Regions from separate parts of the Mus musculus genome. Here all the other regions are reported to be linked to region 2. Evidence: microRNA targets listed by miRTarBase, many of them from high-throughput screens and not tested one by one. Region 2 holds a microRNA gene; each other region holds the end of a gene's coding sequence.

The links. Region 2 holds the annotated microRNA mmu-miR-26b-5p (UUCAAGUAAUUCAGGAUAGGU, at 1,682-1,702, opposite strand). A microRNA usually pairs through its seed, bases 2 to 8, with sites in the 3' UTR of a target mRNA and lowers its output. Matches are read on the target gene's strand: a 7mer-m8 pairs with bases 2 to 8, a 7mer-A1 pairs with bases 2 to 7 and ends in A, and an 8mer does both.
Region 1: miRTarBase lists Ddx17 as a target of mmu-miR-26b-5p. Seed matches in the 3' UTR shown: 7mer-A1 at 2,903-2,909 and 7mer-m8 at 3,020-3,026.
Region 3: miRTarBase lists Lef1 as a target of mmu-miR-26b-5p. The part of its 3' UTR that is shown has no 7-base or 8-base seed match.

What each region holds. Positions count from the first base shown.
Region 1 is chr15:79,526,646-79,530,768 of GRCm38, reverse strand. It overlaps Ddx17 (DEAD box helicase 17), which reads left to right. Exons shown (of 13, transcript NM_001040187.1): 13 at 252-3,073. The coding sequence ends at 757. It overlaps Kdelr3 (KDEL (Lys-Asp-Glu-Leu) endoplasmic reticulum protein retention receptor 3), which reads right to left. Exons shown (of 5, transcript NM_134090.2): 5 at 3,030-3,697. The coding sequence ends at 3,657. Among named protein-coding and RNA genes, the nearest start is that of Kdelr3, 12 kb to the right of the region's middle.
Region 2 is chr1:74,391,903-74,396,025 of GRCm38, reverse strand. It overlaps Mir26b (microRNA 26b), which reads right to left and starts at 1,716; the gene lies at 1,632-1,716. It overlaps Ctdsp1 (CTD (carboxy-terminal domain, RNA polymerase II, polypeptide A) small phosphatase 1), which reads right to left. Exons shown (of 7, transcript NM_153088.2): 1 at 4,062-4,123; 2 at 2,600-2,748; 3 at 2,125-2,229; 4 at 1,951-2,007; 5 at 1,294-1,386; 6 at 1,004-1,189; 7 at 1-570. The coding sequence ends at 442.
Region 3 is chr3:131,204,592-131,208,714 of GRCm38, reverse strand. It overlaps Lef1 (lymphoid enhancer binding factor 1), which reads right to left. Exons shown (of 12, transcript NM_010703.4): 11 at 3,742-3,782. The coding sequence ends at 3,748. Among named protein-coding and RNA genes, the nearest start is that of Hadh, 65 kb to the left of the region's middle.

The sequences.
Region 1 (4,123 bases), not on the chromosome of region 2:
TTTGGAGAATTTGGTAATTTTACCTCATTTCATAGCATAGTATTAACCGAGGCATACAGTTGATCTACAGCTGTGTGGTACACTCAGGTTAAGTTTGGTTTTGTTATCAAGAAGACTCTAAAAGGCACCAAGTTGAGTGAAGTATTAACTTAGAGACTAGCGTTACAGATGAAGAACATGTGTTGAGTATTTCTGTGCCCCTTTATGTTCAGTTTGTTGGGATCACATACTCGGCATTTTCTTCCCACTAGGAGGCCGCTCACGATACCGGACTACTTCTTCAGCCAACAATCCCAATCTGATGTATCAGGACGAGTGTGACCGGAGGCTTCGAGGGGTCAAGGATGGTGGCCGGAGAGATTCTACAAGCTACAGGGATCGTAGTGAAACCGATAGAGCCAGTTATGCTAATGGCAGTGGCTATGGAAGCCCAAATTCTGCCTTTGGGGCACAAGCAGGCCAATACACCTATGCTCAAGGCACCTATGGGGCAGCTGCCTATGGCACCAGTGGCTACACGGCGCAGGAGTATGCTGCTGGCACTTACGGGGCGAGCAGCACTGCCTCAGCAGGGAGGAGCTCTCAGAGCTCCAGCCAGCAGTTTAGTGGGATAGGCCGATCTGGGCAGCAGCCACAGCCACTGATGTCACAGCAGTTTGCACAGCCTCCAGGAGCTACCAATATGATAGGCTACATGGGGCAGACTGCTTACCAGTACCCTCCCCCTCCCCCTCCCCCTCCTCCATCTCGCAAATGAAACTGCATGGCAGGAGTGACTCGTGCAGATGAATTACACATCTAAAGGAACACTGTCTTTTACCCTTCTAGACCTTTTCATTTTTATTTTTTCTTTTCTCAACCATTACGGTTTATCTTTTTTTAATGCAGATAGTTAAAATTTCACTGCCAGGTTTCTTCTGCCCACCCAAAAGATCCAGTCTATAATTACAGATTTTGTAAGAAAAAATATATATACACATAACTGACTGGAAAGAATTAATTTCTTTCCCCCAGCTTAATGCATGTTGAGGATATTGAGCTATTTTTCATCTTAAAGGTATTAGGCACTTTTGTTGGAGCCTGTTTATCCATGGGAGGGTGGGTAGGGAAGGAGGGACTGCTCTGCAGGAAGTGGTATCTGTTCTTTAGACTGCTCTCCTTAGGGAGGAGCCAAGAGGGATTTCCATGCACACTGCCCATGGTGGGTTTAAGTTACTGAAGTTCGATTACTCAGGCCTGATGAATTTTTAAGACTGCTTTGTTGGTCATTTGGCTGATGGCTTCTTATGTGCATTCAACAGTTAAAAATTCCTAATCGATTCTGTCATCATGCCCCCTCCCCACTTGTTCCTGCAGTTATTAAATATTAACCAGGTTAGTGTTGAGTTAGAAATTACATTTCTGAGTTCAAGCGTTGTCTTTTTAAGTTTAAAAAACTATAAAGGGTTGTTTTTACTAGGTAGACTGGCATCTGGGTAGAGGCTGCCTGGGATTTTTATCCCCACATAACCAGGGGCCATCTGAAAGTCATTTTCTAGCCAGATCAGCCACTGAGCGGTAAGCATCAGCGCTCAGCAGAGCCTTCCGAGCAGCATTTAGAAAGCACCTTTGGGAATGATGGACTGCAAGGGAGTGGGCGGATCTTCCTCTTAAACAGTATTCTTAGAGTAGGATTGACCTCATGGGCTGCTCTGCCCACTTGGTCAGGCTCTCCTGAGCAGGACTGCTAAAGAGCTTGCCTCCTCAAAGCCTGGTCTCTGAGGTGCTTTCTAACAGCTGGAGGCACTTGTTCTGGGCTTTCCTTTGCCCTCAGTTTTTCACAGGTAGGTAGTAGCCATGGAGGGCTGAAGCCCAGGCTCTCCTTACTCTCTGGAGTGTGAAGGTAGGGGTGAGCTCGTCTCACCCCTTTATTAAATGCTCCTGGAACTTGGAAGAGCAGCAGATGAAGTTGGAAAGAAAATTCTGCTCTTATCACCTAAACAGGACAGGAGAGCAGATGCCCCAGCGCCTCTAGTAGATGGTAGTGGTGGGGCTAGTGTGTGGCTGTTACCTGGGCCGCTCAAATTCATTCCAGGGAGGAGGCTCCACTGCATTCTTTGGCTGTGCCCTGAGGGTGCCTGCTCCTTTGTACGGTAACAGTCAATTTTGAGGTTTCTTTCAGGAAGAGAAAGGGATGGTTTTGAGGGGCTCAGAAAATAGGATTCAGTGTGTAACATAACAGGTAGGTTGTCAGCATGCTTGGCATTCTTCTGTTTTCCTTACCGTTTTACAGACTATGAAGCTGAGGGGGGATGGTAGGCACAGATGTGTGGCAACCCTGCTCTGTGCTCTGAAACCAAAGTGTGTCCTGTCTTGTCTGTCTCTCACCCTGCCAAAAGCAAGTGTCTAATCACTGATGCTGACCAGCCTGTTACAGATACTTTCTACAACCAAATTCAGATTTATTTTTTATTAAGCATTATACCATGGGCTGTCCTGTGCTCCTGTCACTCTTCAAAAACACCCCTTCTATTACTGCCTCCGGGGATGAAGCAGTAGCTAGGTTGCTTAACCTCCCCTCTCCAGCAGAGGCATAATCCAGATAAGTAGCAGATGTCATATTTCATAAGCTCTTTTGGCCTGGGTACAGCAGAAAACTAGCAGTTTTCCTACTTGGCGCAAGTGACTTGTGCCTCCTTGTCTGTCCTTTGTCAGCACAGGTGCAGGCAAACCCTTCCAGCTGGGTTAATTGCCGTTTATGGTTTACTCACTTAGGGAAAGGGCTTAGGTGTTAGGCTGTGGGCTGCTTCTCCCTAACCATCCATTGTGCAGACTTCTCATCTAAAAAGGTTGGTGGCTTTTGCTTGGGATCAGTGCTCTGCTAACGCCCTTGCTGGTCTCTCCACACATTCCTGTCATTGAGACTTGAATTGTAGGTGTGATGTTATGCACAGGATGCTCAGAGCTATGTTACTACTATTCTTAGTTTGTAAATTGTCCTTTTGATACCATCTTGTTTTCTTTTGTAGGTATAAATAAATACTTGACAATAAAGGTGTGAATTTTTTATTACATTAAAACTTAAAAAGAGTTTAAGTGTACTCTTAATGTTTTCCTCCAAGCAGTGAAAACATTAAGCAGGGTGAGTGTATTAGGCATTCTATTTAGCACCTCAGGCTGGGAGGGGAAGGCTACATTGGTGGTTCTTAGCACAGAATGGATTTACACAGTGGCCATGGTGTCCATCTCAGCTAACAAGTGAGCTAAGCAGTCCTAAGCACTTGGCAGAGCTGGTTATTTGGACTGCTTACAGCTTGCAGGCCAGGTGGACATGTGGCTCGAGTTCAGCACGCTGACCTAGGGAGGTTCTCTGAATGGATCTTCCCAGCCCTGGGCATGAGTTGTATAGTCCTAAGGAAGCAAGGAGTTGAGCCACTCACGGAGGTATCTACTGCTTCTCTTCACTTGGCACTTGTAGGGCACCATCCTTGGGCAGATGGGCTAGGTATCCCATTCTATCCATGGTGGATTAGGGAGGTGCTGCCGTTTATCCCAAGATGGTGCTTTGCTCAAATTCACACCAGTCACTCTAACATGAAGTCCCAAGTCTTGGCTTGAAGTCATGAAGCAGTGATCCGGATGGTTTGCTTTAGCTGCCATAGGGGTGGCCCTTCTCTTCAAACTGGCACCGGGAGGCTTAATTTCTTTCCTTTAAGGACTAAGGAAAAAAAGATAAAATTTTACTATGTGTTGTACTTAAAGAAGAATTCCTGCCCCCCTCCCTCCACTTTAGCTGGCCTTGAACTGGAGATCGCCTGCCTTTGCCTCCCTTGTTACTTGTTGCGGGTCACCCGTGGGGTTTATGCTGTTTCCCCCCACTTTGGTTACTGGTGTTCTTACATCATTTTAGATGAGTATGTCTACTCCATTCCCATAGCCTGTGTCTATCCATCCCAACCCTGTTTTTAAACTGCCCTGATTAGTCTCTGCATGGTGGCTGCTGGGCATGGTGACACAATAACAAACCCCATAACCTAGATCCCTGGGGTTCTGTGTGAACTTAGTTTCCTTGCGTTTCAAGGTCTACTACTGCTAACAGCTGCTTCGGGGCTTTTGGAGATTGAGGTTTTCCCAACCAAGTTTG
Region 2 (4,123 bases):
GATCTGGGAAAAGCTGACCAGTAAAGAGGGTTCTATGAAAGGCACTTGGGTGTCCACTGTTCTCAGACGGGGGTGGGTGGGTGGGTGGGGAATCCAAGGCACGGGGCAGCAAAAACCCTGTCCCTACCCCCAGAGCAGAACTGGGGCGAAAAGGCCCAATTTGGCAACAGAGAAACATGGCAGCGTGGATAAGACAGAAGTGGGGAGCAGCAGGCAGGGCCCCCCAGGTCCCCTGAGAAGAGGGGAAGAAGTTTGAAGGCACTGACACAGGGGCCCAAGGGCTCACTGTCCTCCATGCAACATGGCAGGGGAGACACCTCTTCCCCAGGGCCGTGACCATGACACAGCCGGGGGTGTTAACAGCAAAGGCAGGCGCCCACAGTCTGCTGGGGAGAGGCTTGGGCCTTGATGAGAGGCAGGTCCTGGCCCCAGGACACCTCACTAGCTCCCGGGCCTAGGCTGTCTGAGCACTGAGTATACGTCGTCCACGCGGCTGAGTTGCTCAAAGAAGGGTAAGAGATCGTGTAGCTCAGTGTCACTCATGTTGTCAAACCACGAGGCCACTGGTACCTGGAGAGACGACATGAGGAGCGCCGGTGTCCCGGGGTGTCCCCTGTCCAGCCCAATTCCTGCCCACAAGGCACATACTTGTTTGGTTTTTGTTTTGTTTCTGGCAGCTGACAGTGAAATTCATTTGTAGATACCAGTGTGCAAAATGTCCACAAATATACTTAAGCTTACTGTTTCGTTCAGCAGGATCCTAACTGGGACTCACTACCTTCATTCCATCCCATTACAGGCCGTGACTGGCAGCTTTGAAGACTGTCAGATGGGGACCCCAGCCAGAGGTGAGGACCCTCCATACATAGGCCGAGTGGGATATGTGAGCAGATACAGGTAATAGGACATTACCAGTCCCCACTACCGCCACACACAGGGCTGGGGAGGTCCCTCCACATATGCCCTGGTCCCGTGTCTCAGCCACTGGGTCCCGTGTACTCACGGCATTGTCTGGATGGAAGACATAGGAGGCGGGTGAGTTGTCTAGAATGAGCACTCGCCGCAGGTCTCGGCCCAGCCTGCTCAGGTCCTTTACGTAGTTCCCCCGGTGGAAGACACACGACTCTCGAAACAGCCTGGCACGGAAGGCTCCCCACTTGTCCAGCAGATCAGCTACAGGGTCTGCGTACTAGGGTAGGCGGTTAAGTCACCTCAGAATGAGTAATGTCCAGGGCTGCATGTTCAACGTGGGAGGGAGGATATGGGTGACCCAGACCCCAGGCAATGGCTCACCTTGGCAAGGCTGGCAGTGAACAGCACACATTCAAAGAGCTCGCCCATTCGCTGTAGGAACTCATCTACGTGGGGCCGCTTCAGCACATAGACCTGGGGAACGAGCCAGTGAGGGAGCTGCTGGCCAACAGGCTTAGGGGTGATCCACAAAAGGGGGACAGGAACAGTGGAGGAGGAAGGGCAGTCTAGAGAGGCTGCCCCAACCATACCCCATTCCTAAAGAGATAAGAATAGGATTCCCGTGGTCCCACCTCACCTAGTGGGAGCCACTCCCCTTCCCACACTGGTTTTATCCAAATGCAGGAGTCCAGGTTAGCCCTCTCACCCCAAGGCTGCAGGGCACCGGCCCCCGAGCCAAGTAATGGAGAACAGGCTGGTCAGCACCACAACCTATCCTGAATTACTTGAACTGGGTCCCGGGCAGTAGGGGTAAGAGGGGAAAGAGGGCTGCACAAGACAGGACCAGAAGGAGCCCAGTGTGCAGGTCTGGGAGTCTGGCTCCATCTCTGGAGTACCAGGTAGTCTTGGGTTCTCACTCTTTCTGAGCTTTGGACACGCCCCATCTATTAAAGTTCCATGGGGGACTCGCTCAAGAAGGGTGGGAGGAACCTGGGTGTAGTGCAGACACCAAGCTCCCCACCTCCCTCTGACCCTCACCTGGTGGACCACTCCATCTATCTCCACCGGGATGATGAAGTCCGCATTGTTCACTGGCTGTAAGGAAAGAATAATGGCTGGAGCTGGCGGGGAGGGAATCCCAAGGGTGGAAATCCAGCAGAGACCTCCCCCTGTCAAGAGACTAGAGGCTGAGAGGTGCCAGGCAGGGCCCACCTTGAAGGAGCTGTGCACCAGGGTCTCGTCCAGGTCGATGACGACGCAGATCTTGTCTGAGTCCTGGGCCTTGGCCTCGGGAAGCAGGTACTGGACTGGGGTGTGCTGTGGGGAGGGCTGGGCTGGAAGGGCACCTCTTACAGGGGCTTCCCTCCCCAAATTTCTCTATCTGAGGACCCGACCAGACCTTCTACCCCCTCCCCAGCTTGGAGTCTTGCAAACTGTGAGCCAGGGGTAAGATATATGGATCCTTTTTCCTCACCTCATAAAGTTCCCACCAGCAAGGAAGGCATAACTGTGGGTTGGGAGGCTGCAGTGGGGCTGGAAAGGGGGGGGGGGACCTAGCAGGCAAGCGCCCTCCCTCTGCACATTTTAGGATCTGCACGTGTATCAGTGAAGTTCGGGCCTATACCCCTATCTGTATCTGCCAAGTCTACTTCCGGCTAGGTCTCGGTGCATCCAAATTGCCACAAACCTTAGGGATGGCGCCATTTTCCTCCACCAGCAGGGGAGCCCCACTGTGGGCAGGTAGGGGCTCCCCATCATCCCGGCAGACACAGCAGAAGAGGGAGTGGAGGATGCCCCGACTCCGGGGCTTCTGGGAAACTGCTGACTTCTGGTCACCTGAAGCAAGACGTGAATGTGGGCACACTGGCCTGCAGGGGCTGCATGCACTCCAGTCTCAAATCCCTGAGCACAGAGAATGTGAGCATTCTCCCTCCATCAGGAGACACATGGGGGTGGCTCTGGCTGGCTGTCCTCCAGAGAACCCCGCTTCCATGAGCCCCACCACGGGCCACTTCAGGGCCCCTGCAGCTCAGCGTCTTAAGGAAATCTGGTGTGGCTTTTTAGGAAGGCAGCCACTTTAAGAAGTAGATGGCTTAAGGAGGGGACCGATTTTTCTCACGGTTGGTTCTCAATCATCTGACCCCACAGGTGGACGTTACCTGAGCATCCCCTGCTCTGGACCTTCAGGGCTCAGGGCCCTGTCGTCCACTCCCACTCTCCCTCCATTCTGTCTACCCAGTGAGTCCAAAGTCCCCATTGAGCCTGGGCCCAGAGGCCAGTGTCCCAGGGCTGTCAGCCCCACCGGCCCCACCTCCTTCACCCCGCCCCGTCTCTTTGCAGCGGCCTGTCTAAATTGACAGACCTACCCCCACCAAGCCTCTTCTCTAATCCTTTCTGCCTCCAGGCCACCCCCCCCCCAACCCCCAAAGAGCGAGGAACTGGACAGTGGACAAACCCGGAGTGACTTCCCAATCTTGAAATTCACACAGGGGAGGGAGGGGTGAGCCCCACTCTTGCGAGCCTTAGGGGCTCCGCATAGGCGGGCAGCACCCCTTACAGGGTGGGTGCAAGCGTGCACAGGCCCGAGGCCAACCGGCCTAGCCTGTTGCAGCCTGGGTGTCGCGTGCCCAGCTGGATACAAGGCCCCCAAGTCTGTCTTGCAAGGCTAGGGGCTCTCTGCCTTCGAAGGTGTCGTCTGCACCTCCACGCGTGACGCCCGAGTTTGTGGGAACCTGGCTGTGAGTTAGTTGGCGGGAGATCCCTGCAAGCCTCCCCAGCCCGCTGTCACCTCGGCACCCCTTCCAGACCTCAGCCTGGAGGGGGCGGAGCCTCAGCGGGTGGCCGGGTGGCCGCCTCACCCCCACCTTCTCGTCCCATTGGCGCCAAACTGGGGGAGGGGGTGACGCCCGGGAGCCCGCCAGCCCCTCGCTCGCCTTCTGCCTCAGTTTCCCCACTACGAGAAGCCTCGAGCGCACTGGTGGCGCCAGGCCCCGCCCAGCGCCTCAGACTCTCGCGGAGTTCAAACTCTCTCGGCCGCACTGGCCGGGGCTCGGGCCGGGCCAGGCCGAGGCGCGCGCCCGGGACAGCGGCAGCGACCGCAGCGCGGGGACGGCCCCTAGTCCGGTTCTGCCCTCCCGCCGCCCGCCTACCTTTGCCCCGCAGCGGGCCCCGCGCCTCCTCCTTGCTGATCTGAGTAATGACGGCCGAGCTG
Region 3 (4,123 bases), not on the chromosome of region 2:
GGGAGGGGAAGAGGCCTCGGAGGGGATCTGCACAGGAAGTGAAGAACCACACAGGCAATTGACTGTCACACAGAAGCAGTCTGGGCGGTGGCACGTTAGGGAAGGGAGACAAAAGGGTCCCTGTGGCAGCACCACGAGGCGGTGCAGATCAGAAGTTAGATGAATTAATTAGAGGCCCCGGTTTCTCTCCCTACTCTCTCACCCCATGCAGACCCAAGACCAGAGACTGTGAGACCTGGGTAGACCAGTCCTGGGGCTCTCTGCTGCAGCTCTTCCAGAAGGGACTACAGATGACTGTCACAGGGCCCTCCTCCATGGCAGAGTACTTTCTTGAGGTCTTGAGGGCCAAGAACCTTTTTTTGGGGGGTGGGGGTGGGGCGGGTTAGAGTCAGGGTTTCTCTGTGTAGCCCTGGCTGTTCTGAAACTCACTCTGTAGTCCAGGCTGACCTGCCTCTGCCTCCCAAGTGCTGGTATTAAAGGCGTGCATACTACTGCTGGCTGCCAAGAATCTTTTATTTTTATTGCAGCATTAGATTTCTTGGCAAGACTCCTTTGTCAAACACCCTCCAGTGGCACAGGTAGCACATGACAGTGGGGTCCCTCTCTGTCCCATTCGATGCAGCATCTCCAGGTCTTAATAAGCACTAGTGGCTGGCAAGCCCCGGTGCAGGAGTTCTTACAGCAAAGGAAGAAGAGAGGTGTGGAAAGCAAGCATTCTGTCATCACTAATTCACTGGACTCTTTCTGGATGGCCGCCTGGGTTCCTCTATGCTCTGCACATATCTCGTAACTCCCAGGTTTTCTCTGCACAAGACTGTGGTGGTGGTGGTGGTGGTGTGTGAGTGGTGACTTCAAAGACCATGTGGCCCATCCAGGAAACGAGAGAGAGAGAGAGAGAGAGAGAGAGAGAGAGAGAGAGAGAGAGAGAGAGAGAGGGGGGGGGGGGGCACGATACTAGTGGCTTTAAGCAGTAAGTGCAGCAAGCCAGGCTTCACCCAGCAGCTGGGGACTCGAGGACAATGGGGGGGGCAACAGCTGGGGGCTCGAGGACAATGGGGGACAGCGACTGGGGGCTCAAGGACAATGGGGGACAGCAGCCAGGGGCTCAAGAACAATGGGGGGAGCAGCAGCTGGGGGCTCTAGGGCAATGGGGGGCAGCAGCTGGGGGCTCAAGGAGAATTGGGGGACAGGGGAAGGTTTTGTTTTGTTGTAGTATATTCAAAGAAGACTCCTTAACCTTCAGGAAAAAAAAATTAGTGGCGAGAATCTCAAAGATTTCTGTGACTTATTAAAGAAACAGGCAGCTGAAGTGCATTTTAAGACAAAAAAATAAGCAGATTTTACATCAAACATTTTGTATCAAACTCAGCTTTTATATCAAATATATCAAGTATATAATATATACATACATACATATGAAATCATGATTACATATATAATCATGAAAGGTATTAAATCAAGTTCCAACTCTTAAGTACTGCAGTGCATTTCACACGAAATAGGTAGCTCTAAAACTGTTGAAGCAAAAGCTGCATTTAGTCCATGACTGAGAGCTGGCCCTGGGCACACTGTACTTCCGAGGGCCTTCTCCGTCATGGCTGGACATGCAAAGGTGGGGTAAACTATTCCTAAGCGATCAGCAATGAAAAGATCACATTTATAAAACAGGCGTGGTCTCCAGTGCCAGCAAACCACGGGTGGTGGTACATGCCGGTAATCCCAGCACTCAGATGGTGGAGGCAGGAGGATCAAAGTTCAAGGTCAACCTTGGCTACATAAGTGAGTTGGAGGTCTGCCTGTGCTACATGAGACCCTGTCTTAAAGAGATGAAACCAAGAAACGAACAGAAACAATACAAGGTGTGTATATGCAAGCTTCTTTCTAGGTTGTTCATCTATGAAGCCAGATGTATCCTGGGGCTGGGATTATAACCGAATCATCCCCTGTGAACTAAAGAACAAACCTAGGTGGCTGGCTCAGAAGACCGTTATTAGTAGCCACTCAGTTAGGTAGCCATCATCTGTGACTGTGTTACGTTTGGGTGTGATGCCACTGATGTCAAGAGGTGGTCCATGGAAGAAGCCATCGAGCCTTAGGCTAAATCAGTGAGGTTAGGTTTGGATAGAGCAACTGTGGTACCAGCTGGGGATTTGGAAACCTGGTAAGTCAGAATGAAGATCAAGAAAGTTTCTCAAAAAAAAAAAAAAAAAAAAAAAAAAAAAAAGAAAGAAAAAGAAAAAGAAAAAGAAAAAGAAAAGAAAGTTTCTCAAGAGAGTAAGCAGCAGGGTTCTGGGAGGAGGGAGGGGCCTTTCTGAGTTCCTATTGGCTAAAGACAAGTTATGCATTCCAGATGAGGAGACCAGACTAAGAAGCTGACTAGAGGGCCCAGGTAGTCGACTGGAAATTTAAATCTACTTGGTGCCAGTACCCTGGGAGATTTCCATAGGGAAACATCATTTGAAAGTTCAGGACCCTAAGTAAATTCTCAAGCTGGGATGGGGTTCCCTGGCTTGGCCCAGAGCATCCATCCGTACTGCAGGCCATTCTAAGGGATGCTGCCCAGGTTGGTGTGTTCGTAAGTAGAGAGAGCAGGCCTTCCAAGCACAGGGACCATCGTAGGTGGTGCTCTCCATCTATTTGTGCAACTGCTAATTTTATCTGGACAGAGCTCACATGGGTCAGTTTGGAAGTGAGAAGAAACCTTGAACAACTGACCCGAGGCACAGACACACGATAGGGCAGTGGCAGATCTCACCTAGGAGATGCGACTGTACCCTTCAGGCAGTAAGAACTGGCTGGCCTTGAGTAGAGAAGAGACATCATTCATTGGTGTTTCGGAAAAATCCCTCCGAGAGCAAAATGGATAAACTGTAGAAGTAAAATCTGTGGCCATAACACATTCCTAACAGCTACAATAATAGCAATGCAGTAAGGGACTAGGGGCTGGCGGTCGAGGAAGGCAAGAGGTAAAGAGGACCCAAAGGAAGCCCTGCAGGGCTGGGTGACTCTGCACAGGGTTCTAGAGAAAGAACACAGCAGATACATTGGCAACTGTGGTCGAGAATGGATACACCCTGTCAATTCAAACTTAAGACCCAGAATTTACCTAGGAAGCCAGTTTCCTGGGTCATGTGGATCAACATTAAAGACTTAGCATAAAAATGAACAAATCAGGTTTGACTTACAGGTCCTTTGGTAAGGTCTAGCAATGATTACCCATAAAGGAAAACACTCAGTAGAAGATATTTTAAAATAGAAAGAAAATGATAAACCCACAAATCTCCCTCCTTACAAACACACTGCCCACACATCATCTCAACCGAGTCTTTACCATGTACCAGGACAGAGACGGGTTCAAAGGTGACCCTCAGACTCATCCCCACTGCAGGTGGGGGATGTCAGGCTGCTTCCTATATATACATTTTTTAAAGGTTGATTTTTTTCCACTGGTCAGTAAGAAATAGCTGCGAAAATAATATTGAGGGCAAGAGAACAGAGAAATAGCAATATGTATATATATAAAATAAAGGCATAATAGACGTGAAGGCACACTGCGTCGGAAACACACAGCTGGGGTAAAAACCCACGAGCGACTGGGTCATCCGCACTAGACTGACTTGGGTGGCCTTTTCCTCTTTTTGGGAACCATGCTGAGCGGAACTGGTGAGAGCGAGGAGATCCGCAAGCAAGCGCCTCGTTAAGAGCTAAGTCAGCAGCAGGGGCCGAGAGAGTTGATCTTACCATGTTTCAGATGTAGGCAGCTGTCATTCTGGGACCTGTACCTGCAGAAAATTGTGTCTTTAAGAAATGTTTATGGAGAGGTTTCTGTACATTCCAAATATGTAGTAGCTATAACACCATGTAGACCTGCTCGCTTTGCCCTTTGGGTTCTCATGGCGGCCCTGTCTGTGTGTTGTGCAGTGCGTGTGGTGGCCCTTTAACGGACAGGGAACAGGACCGACATGGGCCCTCGCTGACTCCTGCCATCAGTGTGAGACAAGCCCCACTTGTCCTTTAGTATTAAAAACCCCAGACACATGAGAGATGCTCAAGGGAATGCAAGGTAGCATGTTGTACTGTCACCGTAGAAGTGGCATTCTTAAGGACTGTGCAAACAGCAGAG